Arabidopsis thaliana: one gene and its partners. The protein of the gene in region 1 purifies or fractionates together with the protein of each later gene. This does not show direct contact. Each region holds a gene or a part of one and is shown in the gene's direction. Other genes may lie near its edges.

Evidence for each region.
Region 2: the proteins of AT1G72810 (region 1) and IMD2 fractionate together in Arabidopsis thaliana (co-fractionation; one large-scale study listed by BioGRID). This does not show direct contact.
Region 3: the proteins of AT1G72810 (region 1) and GME fractionate together in Arabidopsis thaliana (co-fractionation; one large-scale study listed by BioGRID). This does not show direct contact.
Region 4: the proteins of AT1G72810 (region 1) and AT3G23940 fractionate together in Arabidopsis thaliana (co-fractionation; one large-scale study listed by BioGRID). This does not show direct contact.

What each region holds. Positions count from the first base shown.
Region 1 is NC_003070.9:27,397,351-27,402,444, reverse strand, and holds AT1G72810 (Pyridoxal-5'-phosphate-dependent enzyme family protein), read left to right. Parts: upstream 1-1,970; 5' UTR 1,971-2,051; coding exon 2,052-2,663; intron 2,664-2,746; coding exon 2,747-3,685; 3' UTR 3,686-4,171; downstream 4,172-5,094. Other genes in the region: AT1G72800 (RNA-binding (RRM/RBD/RNP motifs) family protein), read right to left, coding at 4,172-5,094. UniProt on the Arabidopsis thaliana protein: Catalyzes the gamma-elimination of phosphate from L-phosphohomoserine and the beta-addition of water to produce L-threonine.
Region 2 is NC_003070.9:30,285,821-30,290,811, forward strand, and holds IMD2 (isopropylmalate dehydrogenase 2), read left to right. Parts: upstream 1-1,942; 5' UTR 1,943-2,012; coding exon 2,013-2,229; intron 2,230-2,428; coding exon 2,429-2,558; intron 2,559-2,667; coding exon 2,668-2,779; intron 2,780-2,857; coding exon 2,858-2,933; intron 2,934-3,023; coding exon 3,024-3,112; intron 3,113-3,204; coding exon 3,205-3,291; intron 3,292-3,381; coding exon 3,382-3,498; intron 3,499-3,588; coding exon 3,589-3,696; intron 3,697-3,777; coding exon 3,778-3,831; intron 3,832-3,937; coding exon 3,938-4,090; intron 4,091-4,231; coding exon 4,232-4,306; 3' UTR 4,307-4,479; downstream 4,480-4,991. Other genes in the region: AT1G80550 (Pentatricopeptide repeat (PPR) superfamily protein), read right to left, coding at 1-884; AT1G80555 (Isocitrate/isopropylmalate dehydrogenase family protein), read left to right, coding at 1,186-1,396, 1,469-1,598, 1,673-1,919; AT1G80570 (RNI-like superfamily protein), read left to right, coding at 4,841-4,871. UniProt on the Arabidopsis thaliana protein: Involved in leucine biosynthesis; catalyzes the oxidative decarboxylation step in leucine biosynthesis (primary metabolism). Catalyzes the oxidation of 3-carboxy-2-hydroxy-4-methylpentanoate (3-isopropylmalate, 3-IPM) to 3-carboxy-4-methyl-2-oxopentanoate.
Region 3 is NC_003076.8:10,861,475-10,866,693, reverse strand, and holds GME (GDP-D-mannose 3',5'-epimerase), read left to right. Parts: upstream 1-1,747; 5' UTR 1,748-1,968; intron 1,969-2,649; exon of another isoform or gene 2,650-2,668; 5' UTR 2,669-2,669; coding exon 2,670-3,079; intron 3,080-3,165; coding exon 3,166-3,262; intron 3,263-3,339; coding exon 3,340-3,469; intron 3,470-3,555; coding exon 3,556-3,688; intron 3,689-3,766; coding exon 3,767-3,974; intron 3,975-4,066; coding exon 4,067-4,222; 3' UTR 4,223-4,678; downstream 4,679-5,219. UniProt on the Arabidopsis thaliana protein: Catalyzes a reversible epimerization of GDP-D-mannose that precedes the committed step in the biosynthesis of vitamin C (L-ascorbate), resulting in the hydrolysis of the highly energetic glycosyl-pyrophosphoryl linkage.
Region 4 is NC_003074.8:8,646,630-8,653,107, forward strand, and holds AT3G23940 (dehydratase family), read left to right. Parts: upstream 1-2,039; 5' UTR 2,040-2,150; coding exon 2,151-2,678; intron 2,679-2,776; coding exon 2,777-2,848; intron 2,849-2,948; coding exon 2,949-2,996; intron 2,997-3,169; coding exon 3,170-3,324; intron 3,325-3,493; coding exon 3,494-3,688; intron 3,689-3,765; coding exon 3,766-3,877; intron 3,878-3,961; coding exon 3,962-4,031; intron 4,032-4,117; coding exon 4,118-4,176; intron 4,177-4,284; coding exon 4,285-4,408; intron 4,409-4,502; coding exon 4,503-4,573; intron 4,574-4,652; coding exon 4,653-4,754; intron 4,755-4,965; coding exon 4,966-5,046; intron 5,047-5,388; coding exon 5,389-5,547; intron 5,548-5,643; coding exon 5,644-5,694; 3' UTR 5,695-5,976; downstream 5,977-6,478. Other genes in the region: AT3G23930 (troponin T, skeletal protein), read left to right, coding at 399-789, 863-1,146; AT3G23950 (F-box family protein), read right to left, coding at 6,279-6,478. UniProt on the Arabidopsis thaliana protein: Functions in the biosynthesis of branched-chain amino acids.

The sequences.
Region 1 (5,094 bases):
AAGAAAGCGACAAACTGGGAGCACTCTTAGAAGACGAAGAAGATCGACGGCAGAGATAGAAAAAAGCTAAAAGGTCGTCATCGAAAACAACGGCTAAGATCTTGTTCTCGGATCAGACCCAACAGAGGAGAGAGAAAATGGATCCGCTTTTGTGATTTGGATAAGATGACGTGGCGTCCATATCCTTGGGTCGTTGGGCAGAGAAGAGAGCAGAAGGCAGTGTGAGAGGCACGTGATCTGTCACGTGATTTTTGATTCTTTTTCACTGTTACACTTCCACTATCGTTCGAGCTATATTTTTTTTTATGAAAAAAGAATCTAAAGATTTATCAGAGTTCCTCCTAGAGATGCTAAATTTATAGGAACAGTGGTGGTCCTTGGACAATAGTATGATACTACCAAACACCAACAGAAATCATTTTTCTGTCGTTGTATCATTTACTGACATAACTTGATTACAAAAATATAGTATTAATTAGCTTTGGGAGTTTCACATATTTTAGTATCAAATCAAATATACAACAGAAATCAATACTATAGTATTTGGAAATGCCCACTACCTAAACATATACTACATTTCTTTTTCGGTCCACGCTTACTTATTACATCGTTAATCCTTATCTTCAACAGATTAGATGTTAAAGTGAGTAGACAAGCTTAGACTGATTCCAACCATGTGATTTGATTCCAAAAAGAACATTATAGCTGTGATGGGCTTGAGTGACGAACAACACTGTTGGTTCTGTATCAACTGGTGATGACCATTATTTCAGCCCACAACTTGGAGATAAAAGAACCAAATCATAAGCAGTTTCCACAGACTAAAGCACCAACAAAAACTATGGAAAGCTTTTATCGAGCAAAAGATCACGAGTCACAAACATAACAAAAAAGTACACGAATCATGAAATCAAATTTCTCAAGTTCCCTATCAAAACGCTTTAAAATACAGAAAAGGGATCCCTTCTCATTTATTGTGTCGTTCTCTCCCAAACCCCAAAACACTATTACCCAAATTTAGAGAGAACACACAACGGTTAGTTGAGGTATTCAGAGTTTGAATCAATTCTAATTCAAGTCTTTTATTTGAAGTATAAGCTTATTGGGCTGGTTTTTCACAATGACTGTATATTTGACCCAATCCGCCCAATGTGACGAAAAGGAGGACCCATAACTAGTGGTGTCCTTTACTTTCTTTTTCTTTTCCAAAAACGTTAAGATCATAAACTCCATACCTATATACATTAATATGAACTATGAAGTGTCGTCTACTTTGTATGAATGTTGCTCTCATAGTCTCATCTCATTATTTATTTTTGTCCTTTAAAATGACAAAAAGATAGTGACATTTATTATTTATTTTTTGTTTCCGTCGCTTGTAATATATTTATTTGATTAATAAAATGGGACGAAATCACAAATATATATTAGAAGAACAAAGAACAATAGATACAAATAATAGTAACATTATATTTTACTCATAAGAATATACTTCATGTGTGGCACATGTCTCATGTAGTCCATACATTCGTGTTTTTTTTTGTTGTTGCATATTTGATATCTTAAACACTAAAATTTACACATGATTCATGAATGTCAAAGATTCATTTCTCCCTAGTGCTTCTTTCTCTACCATCAAAAGAAAATTCATGACTAATAATCCATACAAATAATAGTAACATTTTACTCATAAGAATATACTTCATGTGTGGCACATGTCTCATGTACTCCATACATACGTGTTTTTTTTTTTTTTTTGCATATTTGATATCTTAAACACTAAATTCACACTAGATTCATGAACGTCAAAGATTCATTTCTCCCTGGTGCTTTCTCTACCATCAAAAGAAAATTCATGACTAGAGAGATATATACATAATTTGGAAATTGGAATGACAAATGAAAAACAAACAATAAATGAATACTTTCGTCCCAATATTTATTAGGTTATAAATAAATTACTTGTGACTTGTGACTAAAGGTGTCAACAATCATTCTTCTATCCAATCAATATCATCAAACTCTTCACTTTACTCTCTCTCTCACTCATAATGGCCTCATTCTCTCTTCCCCACTCCGCCACCTACTTTCCTTCCCACTCTGAAACCTCACTTAAACCTCACTCCGCCGCTTCCTTCACCGTCCGTTGCACCTCCGCCTCTCCCGCCGTTCCTCCACAGACTCCACAGAAACCCCGTCGTTCACCCGATGAGAACATTCGAGACGAAGCTCGTCGCCGTCCTCATCAACTCCAAAACCTCTCCGCACGTTACGTCCCTTTCAACGCTCCACCTTCTTCAACAGAATCCTACTCCCTCGACGAGATCGTCTACCGTTCACAATCCGGTGCTCTCCTCGACGTCCAGCATGATTTCGCCGCCTTGAAACGCTACGACGGAGAATTCTGGCGTAACCTTTTCGATTCTCGCGTCGGTAAAACAAATTGGCCGTACGGATCAGGCGTGTGGTCGAAGAAAGAGTGGGTACTCCCCGAGATCGACGATGACGACATCGTCTCTGCTTTTGAAGGAAACTCAAATCTCTTCTGGGCTGAGAGATTTGGTAAACAGTATCTGCAAATGAACGATCTTTGGGTGAAACATTGTGGAATCAGCCACACTGGCTCCTTTAAAGATCTGGGCATGAGTGTTCTCGTTTCTCAGGTGAATCATCTTTCATAAAGTTTACAACTGTATAACCATCTTCAATAAAGTTTACAACTTTATGTTATTTTTTTGTTTCTCAGGTGAATCGTCTCCGGAAAATGAACAAACCAGTCATCGGAGTTGGTTGCGCTTCTACTGGAGATACCTCCGCTGCTCTCTCTGCTTACTGTGCTTCCGCTGGAATCCCCTCGATTGTCTTCTTACCTGCGGATAAAATCTCCATGGCTCAGCTTGTGCAGCCGATTGCAAACGGAGCGTTTGTGCTTAGTATTGACACTGATTTTGACGGATGTATGCATTTGATCAGAGAAGTTACGGCGGAGCTTCCTATTTACTTGGCGAACTCTCTCAACAGCCTCCGTCTCGAAGGTCAAAAGACGGCGGCGATTGAGATTCTGCAGCAGTTTAATTGGCAAGTTCCTGATTGGGTCATTGTTCCTGGAGGCAATCTTGGTAACATCTATGCGTTTTACAAAGGGTTTCATATGTGTAAAGAGTTAGGTCTTGTTGATCGTATCCCTAGGCTTGTTTGTGCTCAAGCTGCTAATGCAAATCCACTTTACTTGCATTACAAATCTGGGTTTAAAGAAGATTTCAATCCATTGAAAGCAAACACTACATTTGCTTCTGCTATTCAGATTGGTGACCCTGTTTCGATTGATAGAGCTGTGTATGCGTTGAAGAAATCTAATGGGATTGTTGAGGAAGCTACAGAGGAAGAGTTGATGGATGCAACAGCTCTTGCTGATTCTACTGGTATGTTTATATGTCCACATACTGGTGTTGCATTGACGGCGTTGATGAAGCTGAGAAAGTCAGGAGTTATTGGAGCGAATGATCGGACTGTGGTGGTGAGTACAGCTCATGGATTGAAGTTTACACAAAGTAAGATTGATTATCATTCTAAGAACATAAAGGAGATGGCTTGTAGATTGGCGAATCCACCAGTGAAGGTTAAGGCAAAGTTTGGTTCAGTTATGGATGTTCTCAAGGAGTATTTGAAGAGCAATGATAAATAAGCTTTGTGTGTTTGTTTCTTCTAAAGCTCTTCACGTCCTATGATGATATTGTTGGCTTTGTTATTAGAGGAAGTAATGAAATTTCGTTTCTTTGGACTTGTGGAATAAAACGACTGGTTGGTTCCGTGATGCTCGCTAGTTGTTTCATATCAAACTACTACTGAGTTTTACATATGCTCTTAACAAAAGTACTCACGACCTGTCTTTTAACCTCTTCTTTTAAATCTTTTAAGAAACAATAAACTTATCTAGAAAATTAACTTCAAGAATTTTTTTCATCTTATTTAAAACCAAAAGAACTCAAAATTGAGTTAACATTAACATTGGGTCAAAAACTTAACTAGAACATAAGAAAAAACTCCCAAGTAATACAAATTTAAAACGTTCCTCTTCTTCTAGGTAGTCTTCTTACTTTAGGGAGTAAAACTAGGTGATCTAGTTCCACGAGCAGTCTCTTCCTTCATGCACTACCAAAGGTTCAAGCCTTCAACAGAAGGTACAACGGCCCTGATTACCACAACGGCCAGGAAAAGGCCAAGTACTTCCACTGCGAATCGGTTCAGCCTTACCAACTACAAGATCCCATCCTCCCACGTCATGTCTACCAAGTTCCAACGCCTTCTCTGCTCCTTCTTTCAGATCAATGTAAGCATATCCTAAGGAACCACCGGTTCCGTGGCTTGGGGGAACAAATACGCGTGTGATCTCCCCAAAAGAACTGAAATATTTACTCAATGCGCTCTTTATATCATCCACAGGAAGGGAAGCGTCAAATCCCGTAACAGAGAACGATCGACCATTGACACCAACAGAAAATAAAGAATCTTTAGCAGCTGGCTTGACACCAACAGAGAATAAAGAATCTGGCTTGAAACCAGCAGAGAATAAAGAATCTTTAGCAGCTGGCTCGAAACCAGCAGAGAATAAAGAACCTGGCTTGAAACCAGCAGAGAATAAAGAATCTTTAGCAGCTGGCTCGAAACCAGCAGAGAATAAAGAATCTGGCTTGAAACCAGCAGAGAATAAAGAATCTTTAGCAGCTGGCTTGAAACCAGCAGAGAATAAAGAATCTTTAGTAGCTGGCTTGGCGGCACTTGCAGCAGGTTTGTTTACAGGTTCCTCAGCAGAAGACGATTCATCCTCCGAAGAAGTGTCCATGTATGAGTCATCGCTCTCAGAAGAAGCCTTAGCAGAAGTCTTCATGGCAGGAACTTTCTCACCCTTGGCTGAGATGAGAAGCTCCTGTATATCCGCCTTTATTGCCAACAAATCCGCCTTTGTTACCAACAAATCCACCTTTGCTTCGAGACGCTGAAGACGATCAGCGAATTCTTTGATCATCTCCTTCTCATCAAGGTTTTTCAAGACGGATACTTTCGTGATCTCCGTCTGATCAGATTCTTCCTTCT
Region 2 (4,991 bases), 2.9 Mb from region 1:
GCAACATTAGGTTCACAACCTCTTTCCCTCATCTCCCGAAATACCCTGATACCGAATTCAACACCTTGCGACGCTCCAATGGCTCGAATCACAGTGTTATAAGCAACCACATCGAGTTTCATCCTTCTACTCTTCATTTCCTTATACAACTTCACAGCTTTCCACGGTTTCCCGCTCTTGCACATGATATCCATGTAAATGGAATACGAAAAAAGATCCTTAGTAACACCTTCAGTATCCATCTTCTTCCAATACTCCTTGCATTTACCCCACCATCCCAATTTCGACCACCCACGAAGAATCAGATTATGAATCTTAGTATTACTCACACTAAAACCATTACCAATGACATTCTTCCCAAAACAAAGCTCTTCAGCTTCAACCACATGTTTATGCTCGCAAAGCGCATCGACCAGATTATAAAATGATGTTTCATCTCTCAAATTGAAATCATCCAATTTATCATACGCATCAATAGCCTCCTGAACAAGATGAGCCGTCACATAACGCTTAAAGACTATACGAAACGTGACGTGATTCGGCACAGATTCCGTGTTTCCGATCATGCGGTTAATCAAAGCCCAAGAAATTTCAAACTCGAAATACTTACCCAGAATATCGATCACCCGATTGAATGTCTCGGTGGTATGTCTGAATCCGGATTCTCTCTCGACCCAGTTGAAAAACTCCAACGCCTTTTGCCAATCGTTGCTGTAACATGTGAGAGCTTCGCATACTGTTTTCTGATCGTAACTGGACTGATCTTCTTCTTCCTGAGATCGAAACTTCGCATCATCGACATTTGAAATAGGTTTTACTGACAGAAGCCGAACGGAGTAAGGGGAAGCAATCCGAACTCGATTGAGTCGCCGCAACAAGAGCATTCTCTTGTTTCCCCTCTCCGCTCCCTGTACACACGAAATTAGGGTTCATCATCTAACGGGCGAATTTTGACCCGAATACCCATTTTAAAATCTGACCCGAATACCATTTATGGGCCCAAAGCCCGCTGGACTTGTGTTAATATTTGGAACATTTGGGCCGATCTATCTTCTACGAATCTTTCTTAGGCCCATCATAATTGAGCCATCCAGAGGTGAAAATAAATAATCGAACGGTTAATATTGGTTTGATTATAAACACAAAAGTTCTTTCCAGGTCTCCTTGTAGTCTTTGTTGTAGTAAATGGCGGGAGTCATCCACGTCAGCAGTACCCAGATTCCGGTTGCGTTTATGTCCGCAACCAAACAGAGCTTTAGGAGAGCTTCTGTGATCAGATGTGCCGCCAACACTCCAAAGAAACGGTACACCATCGCGGTTCTTCCCGGCGATGGCGTCGGTAACGAAGTGATCCCAGTCGCTGTTGACGTTCTTTGTTTAGCTGGGTCTCTTGAAGGTTCCTTCTTTCTCATCCTGTTGCCTAATTTAATTTGATTTTCCCAACTGAAATCGTGTTTTTGGATATCAGGGATAGATTTTAGCTTCGAGGAGTTGCCTATAGGAGGTGTTGCTTTAGATCTTGTCGGAGTTCCACTGCCTAAGGAAACATTGATCAGGGCAAAGCAATCAGACGCTCTTCTTCTCGGAGCTGTTGGATGGTATGGTATTATTACCATAACTTTCGTTCATCTCAAGTTTGGATTCATCTAAAGTTTGGATTTTTGAATTGAAGGCCGAAATGGGATAACAATCCCAAGCATTTGAAGCCGATAACGGCCTTGTTGCAGCTTCGTGCGGCTCTTCAAGTATTTGATGAGCCCTCCTTCTTCTGTGAGGTGCTGCTAATAAATGGATATATATATATATATATATATATATATATATATGTTGTATGTGGTAATGTAAGGTGTCCATTTACAAAATTAAAAACTTTGGGGTCAATTCTGAAAATAAAACAATGTGCAAAAAAGGACCCATAAATGCAAAGAAGTAAAGTCTGAGTGTACTAGTAGTATCCATTTGACTTGCGGTTTCAAAATCCGAAAAAGACCAATCAATCCTTTCTCCCTGAAATGGCGGCGGCTCTGCAGACGAATATCCGGACGGTCAAGGTTCCGGCTACGTTCAGAGCTGTAAGTAAACAGTCATTGGCACCCTTTAGAGTAAGATGTGCTGTTGCTTCCCCTGGTAAAAAACGATACACCATCACTCTCCTTCCCGGAGACGGCATCGGTCCGGAGGTTGTCTCCATTGCCAAAAATGTGCTTCAGCAAGCTGGATCTTTGGAAGGTTCTCTCTCTCTCTCTTGTTCCCTTTCTTATTTAATTTAGTTGCTGTTTCATTTCAATTGGGGACTACTGTTTTCTGCTTGGAATTGAAAGATGTGAGCATTAGAAATTGGCGAGATTTTGAATGGGATTTACAATCGTGGGTTGGGCTCAAAGGCCACGGAGATTGCCTAATACATTGCGTCTGTGCTCTGTATCAGGAGTGGAATTTAACTTCCGTGAGATGCCCATTGGAGGAGCTGCTTTGGATTTGGTCGGAGTGCCCTTGCCGGAGGAGACTATCTCAGCTGCAAAAGAATCAGATGCAGTGCTTCTTGGAGCCATTGGAGGGTCTGTCTTCTCTCTTTTCCCACTAATCTTGTTGGCTCTTAATTATTGTTTTGGGAAATACAGTTTCTCATTTAGTCATTTTCTCATGTTGGTATAATAATAACTTAAGGTACAAATGGGATAACAATGAAAAACATCTGAGGCCTGAGAAGGGGTTACTTCAGATTCGTGCAGCTCTCAAAGTCTTTGCAAATCTGAGACCTGCTACAGTCCTCCCACAGGTGACCATCCTCAGAGATTTCTTGGTTGCCTGAACTTTGTTTCTTGTGTGAAACTCTAATTTTGTTGTTTTTATACAGTTAGTGGATGCTTCCACCTTAAAGAGAGAGGTAGCAGAAGGTGTTGATCTAATGGTTGTAAGGGAGCTTACAGGAGGTCAGTTTTATTACTTATTAAAAATTGATCGTAATTCTTGTCTTTCTCGTGTGACAATATCTTATAAAATGTCATGTCTCATGGTAACAGGTATTTACTTTGGAGAGCCAAGGGGCATAAAGACCAATGAAAATGGCGAGGAAGTTGGGTTTAATACTGAGGTTTATGCTGCTCACGAGGTACTCTATTGAAAATCTCAGATGCAGATTTCCGTGGACTGATTGTTAAGTACTAGGGTCAAATCTAATAAAGCATTTTGTATGTTCGTCAGATTGATAGAATTGCTCGTGTTGCCTTCGAGACTGCTCGGAAACGGCGTGGCAAGCTGTGTTCTGTTGACAAAGCTAATGTTTTGGAAGTGCGGTTGATAATTATGTTTTCTTTGACTTGTTTTCCTCTCTCTTGTTTCCTGTGGAACGAACATAACACTGAATTTTTTTATATGCAGGCCTCAATCTTATGGAGGAAACGAGTAACAGCATTAGCCTCTGAATATCCTGATGTTGAGCTGTCACATATGTATGTTGACAATGCCGCGATGCAGCTTGTTCGTGACCCAAAACAGGTACGTGTACTTTGTATTTGCCAAACTAGTCAGCTTTGATGTGCGACAGGTGTAAATCCTTGCAATTATTTGATTGTTTGATAAATGCAGTTTGACACCATCGTCACAAACAACATTTTTGGTGATATATTATCCGATGAAGCTTCAATGATCACAGGAAGCATAGGAATGCTGCCATCTGCTAGTCTCAGTGATTCGGTATGATATAAAATAATATGATCTTTTAGTATGCAAGCAGTATGATCTAGTCTGAACATAAACCCGCCATGTGTAATACAGGGACCTGGACTCTTTGAACCTATACATGGTTCTGCACCTGATATTGCTGGACAGGTTCTAACTCTATCCTTCAAACAAACACGGTTTTTGTTCCCTGATATCAAAACTAGTTTAATGCCAAAATCAAAGAGCACAACTTGTTGATTCTTTGAATTTTCAGGATAAGGCAAACCCATTGGCAACCATTCTAAGCGCTGCAATGCTTCTGAAATACGGACTTGGAGAAGAAAAGGCAGCCAAGAGAATTGAAGACGCAGTGTTGGTTGCTCTGAACAACGGATTCAGAACTGGAGACATATACTCCGCGGGAACAGTATGTTTCTTGAACCACTCTTATAACATGTTTCCTTTTCCTTAAAAACGTCCCGAGTTAGTGTTTGAGAAACGTTTAAACAAGCAGGCAACAACAAACAGTAGTAATATTTTTTTGTCTTTTTGTATGGGGTATGATCAGAAACTGGTGGGCTGCAAGGAGATGGGAGAGGAGGTTCTGAAGTCAGTGGACTCCCAAGTTCCAGCTTCTGTTTAATATTTGTAGAAACTTTGAAGAGTTCATTTCCAACAACAAATGTTGTACCTTGTACTCAAAGAGTCTCGGTTTTATTAGCGATTTTTATAATGTGAGATTATTAGAGGGACTTATTTGATCGAACTGAAACGTTGATGTTTTTTTCTGAGAAATAAATATCCTTGTGGAGATAATGACGTGTCAGAGTATCACTCAAAAAGCCAAAAATTAGAGAGACAAAAAAGATTCAATCTCCCCCGTAGTCCTTATCCGGCGCCGAGTGTGGTCAAACGTCGCAAGAGTTTTCGCTCTTTCCGGTGAGATCTTTTTCCTCTGATTTCTGTTTCATGGCAAGCCTACTTTTAGAGCTGAGTTTAATCGATGAATCAAGGATGTGAATTTTTGTTATTTCTTGATTATTCATTATTATGTTCAAGAAATCTAAATCTCTGCTTGGGAACTAATTCACAATTTAGACATCTCTGATGAGTTTTTCCTCTGTTTTTTATTTCTATCTTATCAATTTTGTTTCTGGAAATTTTCATGGCTTTTTGAATGTTCATTGGGATTGCGTATCTTGGTGGTGGTAAGTAAAAAGTCAAACGCCTTCGTTTTTCTGCATAATCTCTGAGTTCCATCAAAGCTCTGTTTTGTGTTTTCAAGGTGGACTTTTCACTTGACATGTTAGGCTTTGATCCTTTTTTGT
Region 3 (5,219 bases), on another chromosome or scaffold:
ATGACATATTATAGTTGATAGATCATTTATTTTTTCAATTTGTTTTCATGTTTTAATTTATGGTATGTTTACAAATTTTAACAAAGCATATGTTAATCCCCAAAAGTTACAGCTGTATCTGGTATTGTGTTTAAAGATAAGTAAAAATGAACTCGGAACATGATATTTAATGTAATATAACGAGAATAGGAATGACGAAAAAGGAACGACATAGAAGGAGCCAACACGGGATAAAAACATAGCTTTTAGATTACAACAAGTTACAATTTAAGCAAATTAACGTTTGCAATCAAATATGTAACATGTGTTTTCAATTTATACAGCATAAAAATGCTCAAAATAATAAATGTTATTATAGTATGCTTTATAATAGTTAAAATTTAAAAATAAACAAATGTAATTTAATATTTATGAACAAAATATTAAACAATAAGAAGAAAGAAGTCAATTAATTTTGTAATATTTTTATTATATCATATCATATAAAAATATACATGAATTATATTTGTGTTTGTCCCAAACAGGATATAGAGAATTTTTGCTTCCATCACGTTCTGTTTCTAATCGGAATACAAATTTTTTCTCATATTAGAAATGCATTCTCTTATGAGAAATAAATTGGAGAACGAGTAAGATATAATGGAACATGATAAAATTGAATGAGAATTACGCCTATCTCTAAATATTTATATTTCTCGCAAACGTATTTAATCATTTTAATGGTTTTATATACGGTTTGATAGTTTACAAGTTTAATAAAAATCTACCTGACCATTAACTCGAATCAGTTTGATCTCGGTTCGACCGTTTGATTGTTATGAACTTTAAAATACTACTAAAATCATTATTATTTCAAATATTTCAACCAACTAATATAGTTTAGGTTATATATATACTATAACTATATAAATAATTTTTAACATCAATCTAACTTATATTATATTTTAATTTAAGATTTTTTTTTCTAATTTACTCTTCAGTTTCAAACTCCAAAAATGGACTTATGGTTGCTCTTATGTCATAAACAAACATAAATAATATTTTATATTTTTATGTGTACATTATAATTATTCAATACAGTATATATCACTAAAATAACAAAATAATTATATATTTAATAAAAATTTATTACAACACATTTCTTAATATATGAAGATGTACTATTATTTGCAAATACAAAATATGTTAAATAGTGTTTTAGTTAATTAGAAAATAACAAAAATTAAAGTAATTTTTCTCAAAATAATAATTATTTAAAGATTAATTGCTTAATTATTTGAATTTTATAAGAATTTCCTTTTAATGTGTATTATATATATGTATGAATAAGACTAATTGAAAAATCTGTAATAATCTAGTAAAATTTGGACAATTATTTAAATGGATTAGAATCACAACATGACGGTTTCGTTAATAACACGCCAATATAAATATTTTATTAAAAAAACTTCTCAATTAATATATAGAATATACATATATTTATTATTTACAAATATTTTTATATATTGAAGCTAGAAAATAAAAAAATTATGAAATTGTTTGGTGCACCAATAAAGAAAATATTTAGTTTTTTTTTTTTTCTAAACTAAAACATTTCTTATTATCTATCTAAATACGATTCAACAAATAGTAAAAATAATATGCATAATATAAATCATCAAACCTAATAAAAAGTAATAAATCTTCTATAAAATCTCCTATTTTCTAAAAAACTCTCTACAAAAGAAGTATTAATTTTTTTTTTCGAAGGATTTTATTAGTTATAAAATAAATTTAACAGAAAGAGGCACAAATACCAATAGGAGTTGGAAAACTAAAACAACGAGTGGTGTTGCTCTCTCCATCTTCCTCTTCATCTTCTTCTGTTCTCTCTCTATAAATACAAGTTTACTCTTCCTCTTCCTCAAATCTCTGACTCTTCTCTGCATTATCTCTTCGATCTCTCCAACTCTCCAAAACCTTCCTCAGGTAAAAGATCCAATCTTCCTTACAATTCCACTAATCTAGGGTTTTAAAATCCCAGATTCCTGAATCAAAACTTCTCTGAGATCCGAATTTCGCAATTCTGTGTTTTTGGCTAATTTACGCCTCGCAATTTTGTGTTTTTCGCTAACTTACGCCGAATCCAATGCATCCTCTGTCAAAACTCTCTAAATCCCAAATCTTTTTACAGAAATTTATCACAAATTAGGATTCCACAGTGATTTCTAGCTTTCGCATGAGAGATCTTATTGTGTTTAACATATTTCTTTGCAATTTTGTGTGTTTTTGGCTAACTTAAGCGTCGCAATTTTGTGTGTTTTCACTAACTTACACCGAATCCAATGCATTCTCTGTCAAAACTCTCTAAATCCCAAATCTTTTTACAGAAATTAATCACAAATTAGGATTCTACAGTGATTTCTAGCTTTTGCATGAGAGATCTTATTGTGTTTAACAGATTTGTTTTGCAATTTTGTGTGTTTTTGGCTAACTTACGCCTCGCAGTTTTGTGTTTTTCGCTAACTTACGCCGGAATCCAATGCATCAATAATCTTACCTCTGTCAAAACTCTCTAAATCCCAAATCTTTTTTATAGAAATTTATCACAAATTAGGACTCTACAGTGATGTCTAGCTTTTGCATGAGAGATCTTATTGTTTTTAACAGATTTGTTTTGTTAATGTAGAATGGGAACTACCAATGGAACAGACTATGGAGCATACACATACAAGGAGCTAGAAAGAGAGCAATATTGGCCATCTGAGAATCTCAAGATATCAATAACAGGAGCTGGAGGTTTCATTGCATCTCACATTGCTCGTCGTTTGAAGCACGAAGGTCATTACGTGATTGCTTCTGACTGGAAAAAGAATGAACACATGACTGAAGACATGTTCTGTGATGAGTTCCATCTTGTTGATCTTAGGGTTATGGAGAATTGTCTCAAAGTTACTGAAGGAGTTGATCATGTTTTTAACTTAGCTGCTGATATGGGTGGTATGGGTTTTATCCAGAGTAATCACTCTGTGATTATGTATAATAATACTATGATTAGTTTCAATATGATTGAGGCTGCTAGGATCAATGGGATTAAGAGGTTAGTTAGATTTTGTTTTCTTCGGTTTTCGCAGTTTACGGTTTCTTAAAACAAGTTAAAAAGATTGGATTTTTTGTTTGCTTTAGGTTCTTTTATGCTTCGAGTGCTTGTATCTATCCAGAGTTTAAGCAGTTGGAGACTACTAATGTGAGCTTGAAGGAGTCAGATGCTTGGCCTGCAGAGGTTTGTGATTATTTTTTATATGTTCTTGCTAAAGATTTATGAGTCTTTTCTTATGTGATGTTTTGATGCTGATATAGCCTCAAGATGCTTATGGTTTGGAGAAGCTTGCTACGGAGGAGTTGTGTAAGCATTACAACAAAGATTTTGGTATTGAGTGTCGAATTGGAAGGTTCCATAACATTTATGGTCCTTTTGGAACATGGAAAGGTAGTATACAGATAAACAGTTTCCGTACTTTGTGTGAATGATTAGTTGTTTACTATTGGGATTAATATTTGCTTGGATCAACTTAGGTGGAAGGGAGAAGGCTCCAGCTGCTTTCTGTAGGAAGGCTCAGACTTCCACTGATAGGTTTGAGATGTGGGGAGATGGGCTTCAGACCCGTTCTTTTACCTTTATCGATGAGTGTGTTGAAGGTGTACTCAGGTGAGGGTATCTCCTGATGTTGATGAAGTTGTATGTTAGACGTAATTGGCTGATATTTTCGTCATTTTTGTTTTATAGGTTGACAAAATCAGATTTCCGTGAGCCGGTGAACATCGGAAGCGATGAGATGGTGAGCATGAATGAGATGGCTGAGATGGTTCTCAGCTTTGAGGAAAAGAAGCTTCCAATTCACCACATTCCTGGCCCGGAAGGTGTTCGTGGTCGTAACTCAGACAACAATCTGATCAAAGAAAAGCTTGGTTGGGCTCCTAATATGAGATTGAAGGTACCAACATTATTTACTTAAGTAGCTCAAAGACAAGATAATAATCTAATTCTTTTATTACTGATATTGTTTTGACCATAATCGTTAAACAGGAGGGGCTTAGAATAACCTACTTCTGGATAAAGGAACAGATCGAGAAAGAGAAAGCAAAGGGAAGCGATGTGTCGCTTTACGGGTCATCAAAGGTGGTTGGAACTCAAGCACCGGTTCAGCTAGGCTCACTCCGCGCGGCTGATGGAAAAGAGTGAAGTTCACCAAAGTATAAGTCAAGCTCAAATATGGCCTTTTAAGTTCAGCAAAATGTTTAGATATATTTTTAGGTAGCTTCCTATTAAAAAAGCAATAATAAGTGTTTTGGATTTTGGTTCCTTCTATTCTGCTAATCCTTGTTTATGTTTAGTTGAAAAAGTTTGCTTGCATTGTTAAGTCTGTTATCATATTATTGTGGTCCTTTCATTCACAGTATGTATGTTTATCATCATAGTCAAGTTGATGTCGTGGTCCTCTCACGGACCAGTACAAGTAAGTGGCTTGTGTTTTTTCTTGCATCTTATCATCTATTCACACATCTCTAGAGGTTAGGGATCACTCACGGTGACTCACCATTCTTTCTCTTCCATCCACTTCTTTATCCCATTCCTCGGTCAAAAATGTCACACGTAATAAATCATAAGGTTTTAAGTTTATATATTGCTTTTTTTATGCAACTCTCCCGATCAGCAAAATATCTAAAATTTGAGATTTTTATCCATGTTCTAAGATTTGGTCTTAGACTCGAGATGATCCGAAAAATAACGTATTTACTATTTTAAATTTTGAATATACATTTTATCAAAAAACAAATATGAGATAAGGACGATATTATTATAACATAACATATAATGTTTTTTTATTATTTTAAATAATATCAAAGGAAATAAAGCTTAAACTTAATCCAAAACTAAGAAAAAAACCACTAAATCAAAAGGAAAAGCATAGTAAAATCTCAAAACAATTAAGCAACTTTCGGCTCAATTGTTAGCTTCTTTGAATATATATGTTATCAGTGTTTTTTCAAAAATCTTTGACGTTAGCATCATACTACAAATATTCATTTATGCATCTAAAATAAGACAATCGATATATTTCAAATCATCAACTCAACAATCACCCAATTTTTTGTTGTGGTTTTGCTCTTGCTCTCACTCTTCTTCGTGTCGCTTCTCAAATGAGCCCAAATCACCTTTTATATCATATGCAAAAGCA
Region 4 (6,478 bases), on another chromosome or scaffold:
AACCTATCTTCTAACAAAATTCTCCACCTTCCCTTCTGACATCTCCCATCACTTCTCTCTTAATTTATTCCATCCATTCCACCAAATTTTTAGTTTCACTTTTTTTACTGTAGTGTGTTTACACTTGTGAGTGAGTGAAAAAGTAAAGCTAGAGAGGTTACTGTTTTGAGATGCTCTTTTTAGAAAGGGCCATATATAAATGGTAGTGTAGTAGTACTAGTGGAGCTTCTTCATATACAATTTTGACTTCTCTTCATTGAATGTAGGAGAGAGGCTCTTTACATCATAAATAAAACAAGAACACAGCTTTCAGAGAGATAGAGTGAGATTCTCCTTCATTAACATATTCTTCTTCATGTTATAAGAAGAAGAAGAAGAAGTGTCCAAAAGGATTAGAGATGGGTGGATGCACAAGCAAGCAAGAGAGGAGAGGTGTGAGAAGTGTGAAGGAGACATCAAAAGACCAAAGCAGAGGAAGAAGACACCTGATAAAAGAGAGAGATGAGAGAGAGAAAGTGATGTTTCTTCAGCTTAAAGAGGCGGAGAGAGAGTGGAGAAAAGAGAGGAAGAAGCTGAGAGAGGAAGTGAGAAGACTAAGGAAGAAGCTAGAGGAAAGAGAAGAAGCAAAGACAACAACAACAGAGGAAAGAGAGTATTGGAAGTGGGTGGTTGAGGAGATGTGTGTAGAGAGAGCAGTGAGAGATGAAGCCGTTGAGAAATGGAAACAACTCTATTTAGCTATCAAGAATGAGCTTGATCATCTCATCTCCCACACTACTTCTTCCTCCGGTAAAATAAACTCAACTTATTTCAACTTAAAATTAGAAAAAGTAAATAGGATCTTTAAAGTGTGTGTTTGTAGGAGAAGCAATCATGCAAAGGAAACTTGAGGAACAAGAAGAAGAAGAAACAGAAGCAAAGAGAGTTGAAGTATTGAGAGATGAAGTTAGAGTTAAAGAAGAGACAGTTGAGACACTTGAAGAGCAAATAGTTTTGATGGATAGACAAAAGTATGAGAAAGAAAGAGAGATTGACTTATTGAGACAGAGTCTAAGGATTCTTGGAAGCAAGAAGAAAAAGAAGACAGGATCATTCGCATCAATGAATCTGTTGATATTGAAGACCAAATGTGTCGAATGTACATAAACACTTTTTACTCAAATAGTCTTCTGCAAACAGTCATATCTCGTCAGAGAATCTTGATCCACAATGTCATATTTATTTCTCTTTTGGTTATTTTACAATTTTTATTTTGGAAATATAGTAAATCATAGCACTATGAGTTCAAAAAGCACATGTCCCATGAAAGATTTGCACAAATCGTTTTTTTTTTTTTTTGTTGGAGTTAGATACAATTCTTTAGCAATAATGATAATGAACCATTTTTCCAAAGAACAGAAACTGTGGAAAAAAACTTACTAGACACTAAAAGTCTAAAACACCACTTGCTTTTTTATAGCCCAAGAAACTTCTAGTTCTAATTAAGAATGTCCAACTTCCGGTTCGGTTACTGAAAATTATCAAATTTTTGTTAGATGAGATAAAGAAGTGAATCCTACAAGAAATATATCATGTGGTTCGGTTTGGTACAATTTTGATTTCTGCTAGGGTTTTATCCTTTTTAGCAAAATTTACTTTAATTTCCGTAGTAAAAAAGAAGAAGTTTTAGTTGGTTTATTTCTTATTTTTGCTTCGATTACGGCATTTAATTTTAGCAATATTTCATTAACAAAAAAAAACAATTCTAATTGGTTTATTTCTACTTCTTTTTCTGTCTTGGTTTGATCTCTATTACTATATTGATTATGAAAAAAATATGAAACCAAAACCATTTATTATGTCTTCAATTCCATTTTTAACCCAATTATTTCACTACAATTGTAATAACCGGTTATTGCACCCCTAATTATAACTATTTAAGCAATCGCATATACCAAACCAGCGAGTTAAACCAAATTGTTTCCCAAATTATGCTAAACGACAGCGTTTTCACAAATTACCAAAAAAACCTATTTTTCTGTATCTATCTGAATTCAGAGTCCTGACCATTTTATCTCACTCTCACAAAGTCTTCACTTTTGAAGTGTCTCCTCCACACGCACTGCGCCGCCAAAAAACCCTTCTTTAAACCCTTTCCTCCTCGCGCCGTCATGCAAGCCACCATCTTCTCTCCACGCGCCACTCTCTTCCCCTGTAAACCTCTCCTCCCTTCCCACAATGTCAACTCTCGCCGTCCCTCAATCATCTCCTGCTCCGCCCAATCCGTAACCGCTGATCCTTCACCACCTATCACTGACACCAATAAGCTCAACAAATACAGCTCAAGAATCACTGAACCCAAATCCCAAGGTGGGTCTCAAGCAATTCTTCACGGTGTTGGTTTATCAGACGACGATTTGCTAAAACCCCAGATTGGTATCTCGTCGGTTTGGTATGAAGGGAACACTTGTAACATGCATTTGCTGAAATTGTCTGAGGCTGTGAAAGAAGGAGTTGAAAATGCAGGAATGGTTGGGTTTAGGTTTAATACTATTGGTGTGAGTGATGCTATTTCGATGGGAACGAGAGGGATGTGTTTTAGTTTGCAATCTAGGGATTTGATTGCTGATAGTATTGAGACTGTTATGAGTGCTCAGTGGTATGATGGTAACATATCTATTCCCGGTTGTGATAAAAATGTGAGTTTTTTTTTTTTAATCATCGATCTTTGTGTTGTCTTTATCTCCATGTTTTATGTGATTTGTTTGCTATAATGTTATTGTTGTAATACTTTTAGATGCCTGGAACTATTATGGCTATGGGAAGGCTTAACAGACCAGGGATTATGGTTTATGGTGGAACCATTAAGGTACTTACTTTTATCAAATTGATGAGAAGATAGTTTCTTAAACCCTAAACCCTTGTGCCTAGTTGGATAGCCTATTCACCTTGCTTTGATATTATTGCAGCCTGGCCATTTTCAAGACAAGACATATGACATTGTATCTGCTTTCCAGGTATCTTTTCTTCTATCTGCTACGAGCTTGGTTATAACAATTTTAATGTGTATTTATGAGACTTCATTGAGTTTTCCAATTTTGGGATTGAGTTACAGAAATCTTGGTGACTTTGGTGTCAAATTGTACCAGTACTTGTGGGATTCATCATGTTTTCCAATTTTGTATTTCAGAGTTATGGAGAATTTGTTAGTGGCTCCATAAGTGATGAACAGAGAAAGACTGTCCTCCATCATTCATGTCCTGGAGCTGGAGCCTGTGGTGGCATGTACACAGCGAATACAATGGCTTCTGCTATCGAAGCAATGGGAATGTCCCTTCCTTACAGGTGAGGCTTTCAGTCCTGAAGACCACATTTATAAATCAACTTCAAACGTTTTCCCAGATTTGTGCTTAATAGAAAGTTATTTCCACAAGAACATTGTAGATCCTAAACTGTAATTGTGGAATGCTTATTTCAAAAGTTCATATATTTGCTTCTTCTTTTTTTTTTGAAGTTCTTCAATACCTGCTGAAGACCCATTGAAGTTGGACGAGTGTCGCTTAGCAGGAAAATATCTTCTAGAATTGCTAAAGATGGACTTAAAACCCCGTGACATTATCACTCCAAAATCACTTCGTAATGCAATGGTTTCCGTCATGGCCCTTGGGGGATCGACAAATGCAGTATTGCATCTAATTGCTATTGCAAGGTGACAGATTGTTATGATGTTTCTTATTATTACCATGGAAAGCAATGGACCGAAGTAATGAATGGAAATGATTTCAGGTCTGTTGGTTTGGAGTTGACTCTTGACGATTTTCAGAAAGTTAGCGATGCGGTTCCATTTCTAGCAGATCTTAAACCCAGTGGGAAGTATGTTATGGAGGATATACATAAGGTAAGGCTTTGGCGAAATCGTTTTGCTTATTACTTATCTGTTTTTTTATTGGTCAGTTTGTAAGTTTTGTTGTTTAATCTACAGATAGGTGGTACGCCAGCTGTTCTCCGCTATTTATTAGAGCTAGGATTGATGGATGGTGATTGTATGACAGGTAGAAATGCTCAAACATTTTATAAACTGACTTAGCAATTTGGATTGATGTGAAATGGCATAACTACGCTTTTGTATCTCTACCAGTGACAGGGCAGACTTTGGCTCAAAATTTAGAAAACGTCCCAAGCTTAACAGAAGGGCAGGTATTTGTAATGTTATTAGTTATCTCATTAGATTCTACCGCCTGTTTCTTCTTGATTATGATGGTTGTTAGTTATACAGGATTCTAATTAATTCTGATAATGTTCCAGGAGATAATTAGACCTCTGTCAAATCCAATCAAGGAGACTGGACACATACAAATTTTGAGAGGAGACCTTGCACCAGATGGTTCTGTAGCAAAAATTACCGGCAAAGAGGGCTTATATTTCTCTGGTAATGTTGGTTCACTCTAGTACCTCCTTTACACTCCATATTTAGCTAATGCTTCTGAATATTAGGGCTTATATGATGGAACTATTTATTTTAGGTCCTGCACTTGTATTTGAAGGAGAGGAATCTATGTTGGCTGCTATATCAGCAGACCCAATGAGTTTTAAGGTAATTTCCTTTCTGATATGAAGTTCATCTCAGGAGCTGGTTATATATCTTTTATCTGATGAAATGTATCGTGTTTCAGGGAACTGTGGTTGTTATCAGAGGAGAGGGGCCTAAAGGAGGTCCAGGTATGCCTGAGATGTTGACACCGACAAGTGCAATAATGGGTGCCGGTCTTGGAAAGGTATGATATGACCAGTATGACTGGGTTAGTGAGACATTTATTAAGTCTGATCAATTTTTATGTTCTAAATTAAAGAACTCGTTATTTTTCCTTTGATATGGTCTGACTATATTATGCTTATGGTAGTGACCTAAATCTTTTTATCTACTTTGTCCATATCCGAGAACACACCTTATATAAAGTGCCAATATGTTGCTATTGGGTGATGCAGGAATGTGCATTACTGACTGATGGTAGGTTCTCTGGTGGGTCACACGGTTTTGTTGTTGGCCACATTTGCCCTGAAGCTCAGGTCTCTCTCTCTCCCTTTTTTTTTTCTCTCTGCCCACTGGCTCCATCAGAGCAAAATTCTAAATTTTGCACTTGCAAGATAAATTTGATAGATCCATGTCCCTCTTCTGGGATATTTTTCTTGTGTATTGAAAAATAAATGCTACTGGGTCATAGTCATATATAGTTTTAGCAAAAAGGAACAAGGGTCAAGGGATCCTGTAATAGTTTGTGGTGGCTCTTATGCAGTTATGATGATTTTGGAATATTTCAAATAATAAAACTGATATTAATGTGATTGGAGAATGTGAAGATAATAATGCTGAAAGCAATTCTCCGGTGTGCTTACTATTTATCTGTGCAGGAGGGTGGTCCGATCGGTCTGATCAAGAACGGAGACATAATCACCATTGACATAGGAAAGAAGAGAATAGACACACAAGTCTCACCCGAAGAAATGAATGACCGTAGAAAGAAATGGACTGCTCCTGCATACAAGGTTAACCGCGGAGTCCTATATAAGGTACTATACGAATCCACTTGTATCTATATAATGTATGTCTCTTTGACATCTGATGGATTAGTTTCTAATGAATGGTTTATGATATTCTAAAAACAGTACATCAAGAACGTGCAATCGGCTTCAGATGGATGTGTGACTGACGAGTAAAGTGAACGATCTAAGAGAGAGTTTTGTGAATGAGCAGCAGAATGTAGTGTACGTTCATGAGGGAATTTGTAAGTTTATTTATTGTAGCTTCTAGATCATGTTACTTTGTGACTGATCATTAGCTATTTGCAGGGTTCGTTTTTAAGATTTTGTTTCTCTTAAATGTCAAAATAAAAACTTGTGATTGTGGCCGAATTCCAAAGAATATAAAGACAGAATAAAGACGGATTTGCATAAATACTTGTCTATGAGATTGAACTTAAGAGCCAATGTGGCAAACCAGCTATGCGTGAATAAGCTTGACGTTCTCTACATGGTTTAGAAAGATGTGAAATCCACTAACCTTAAAGGCTTGGGTTCCTTGGATTTCAAGTCTTTTCATCGTCTTTCTCTCGTTTCTGTAGGAGACAACATAAGGGTCATAAGAATAGTAAAACTCGAGCATGGTAATTAATATTTGATTCGACCAATTTATATCAAGGTGCAAGTATTTGTCTCAAAGGCTCGAGCATGACATCTCACAGAATTGTAAAATCATTCACATTTGAAATTTGATATCAAACTTAAAACAGAATCAATATAAACTAATTAGAAGGCTGTGGACGAGGGAGACGGGACAACCAACGAGGGAGAACATACTGTGAAGCGAGGAGAAGGTTAGGACCACCTTGAAACGATGGGGAAAAGTATCTATGAACGGTCTCCATATACTCGTTGCACCAGTTAAAGCTCAAGGTGCAACCATCCATACACTTCCTCTCGTCTTCGGATTCCTTGTGAAGAC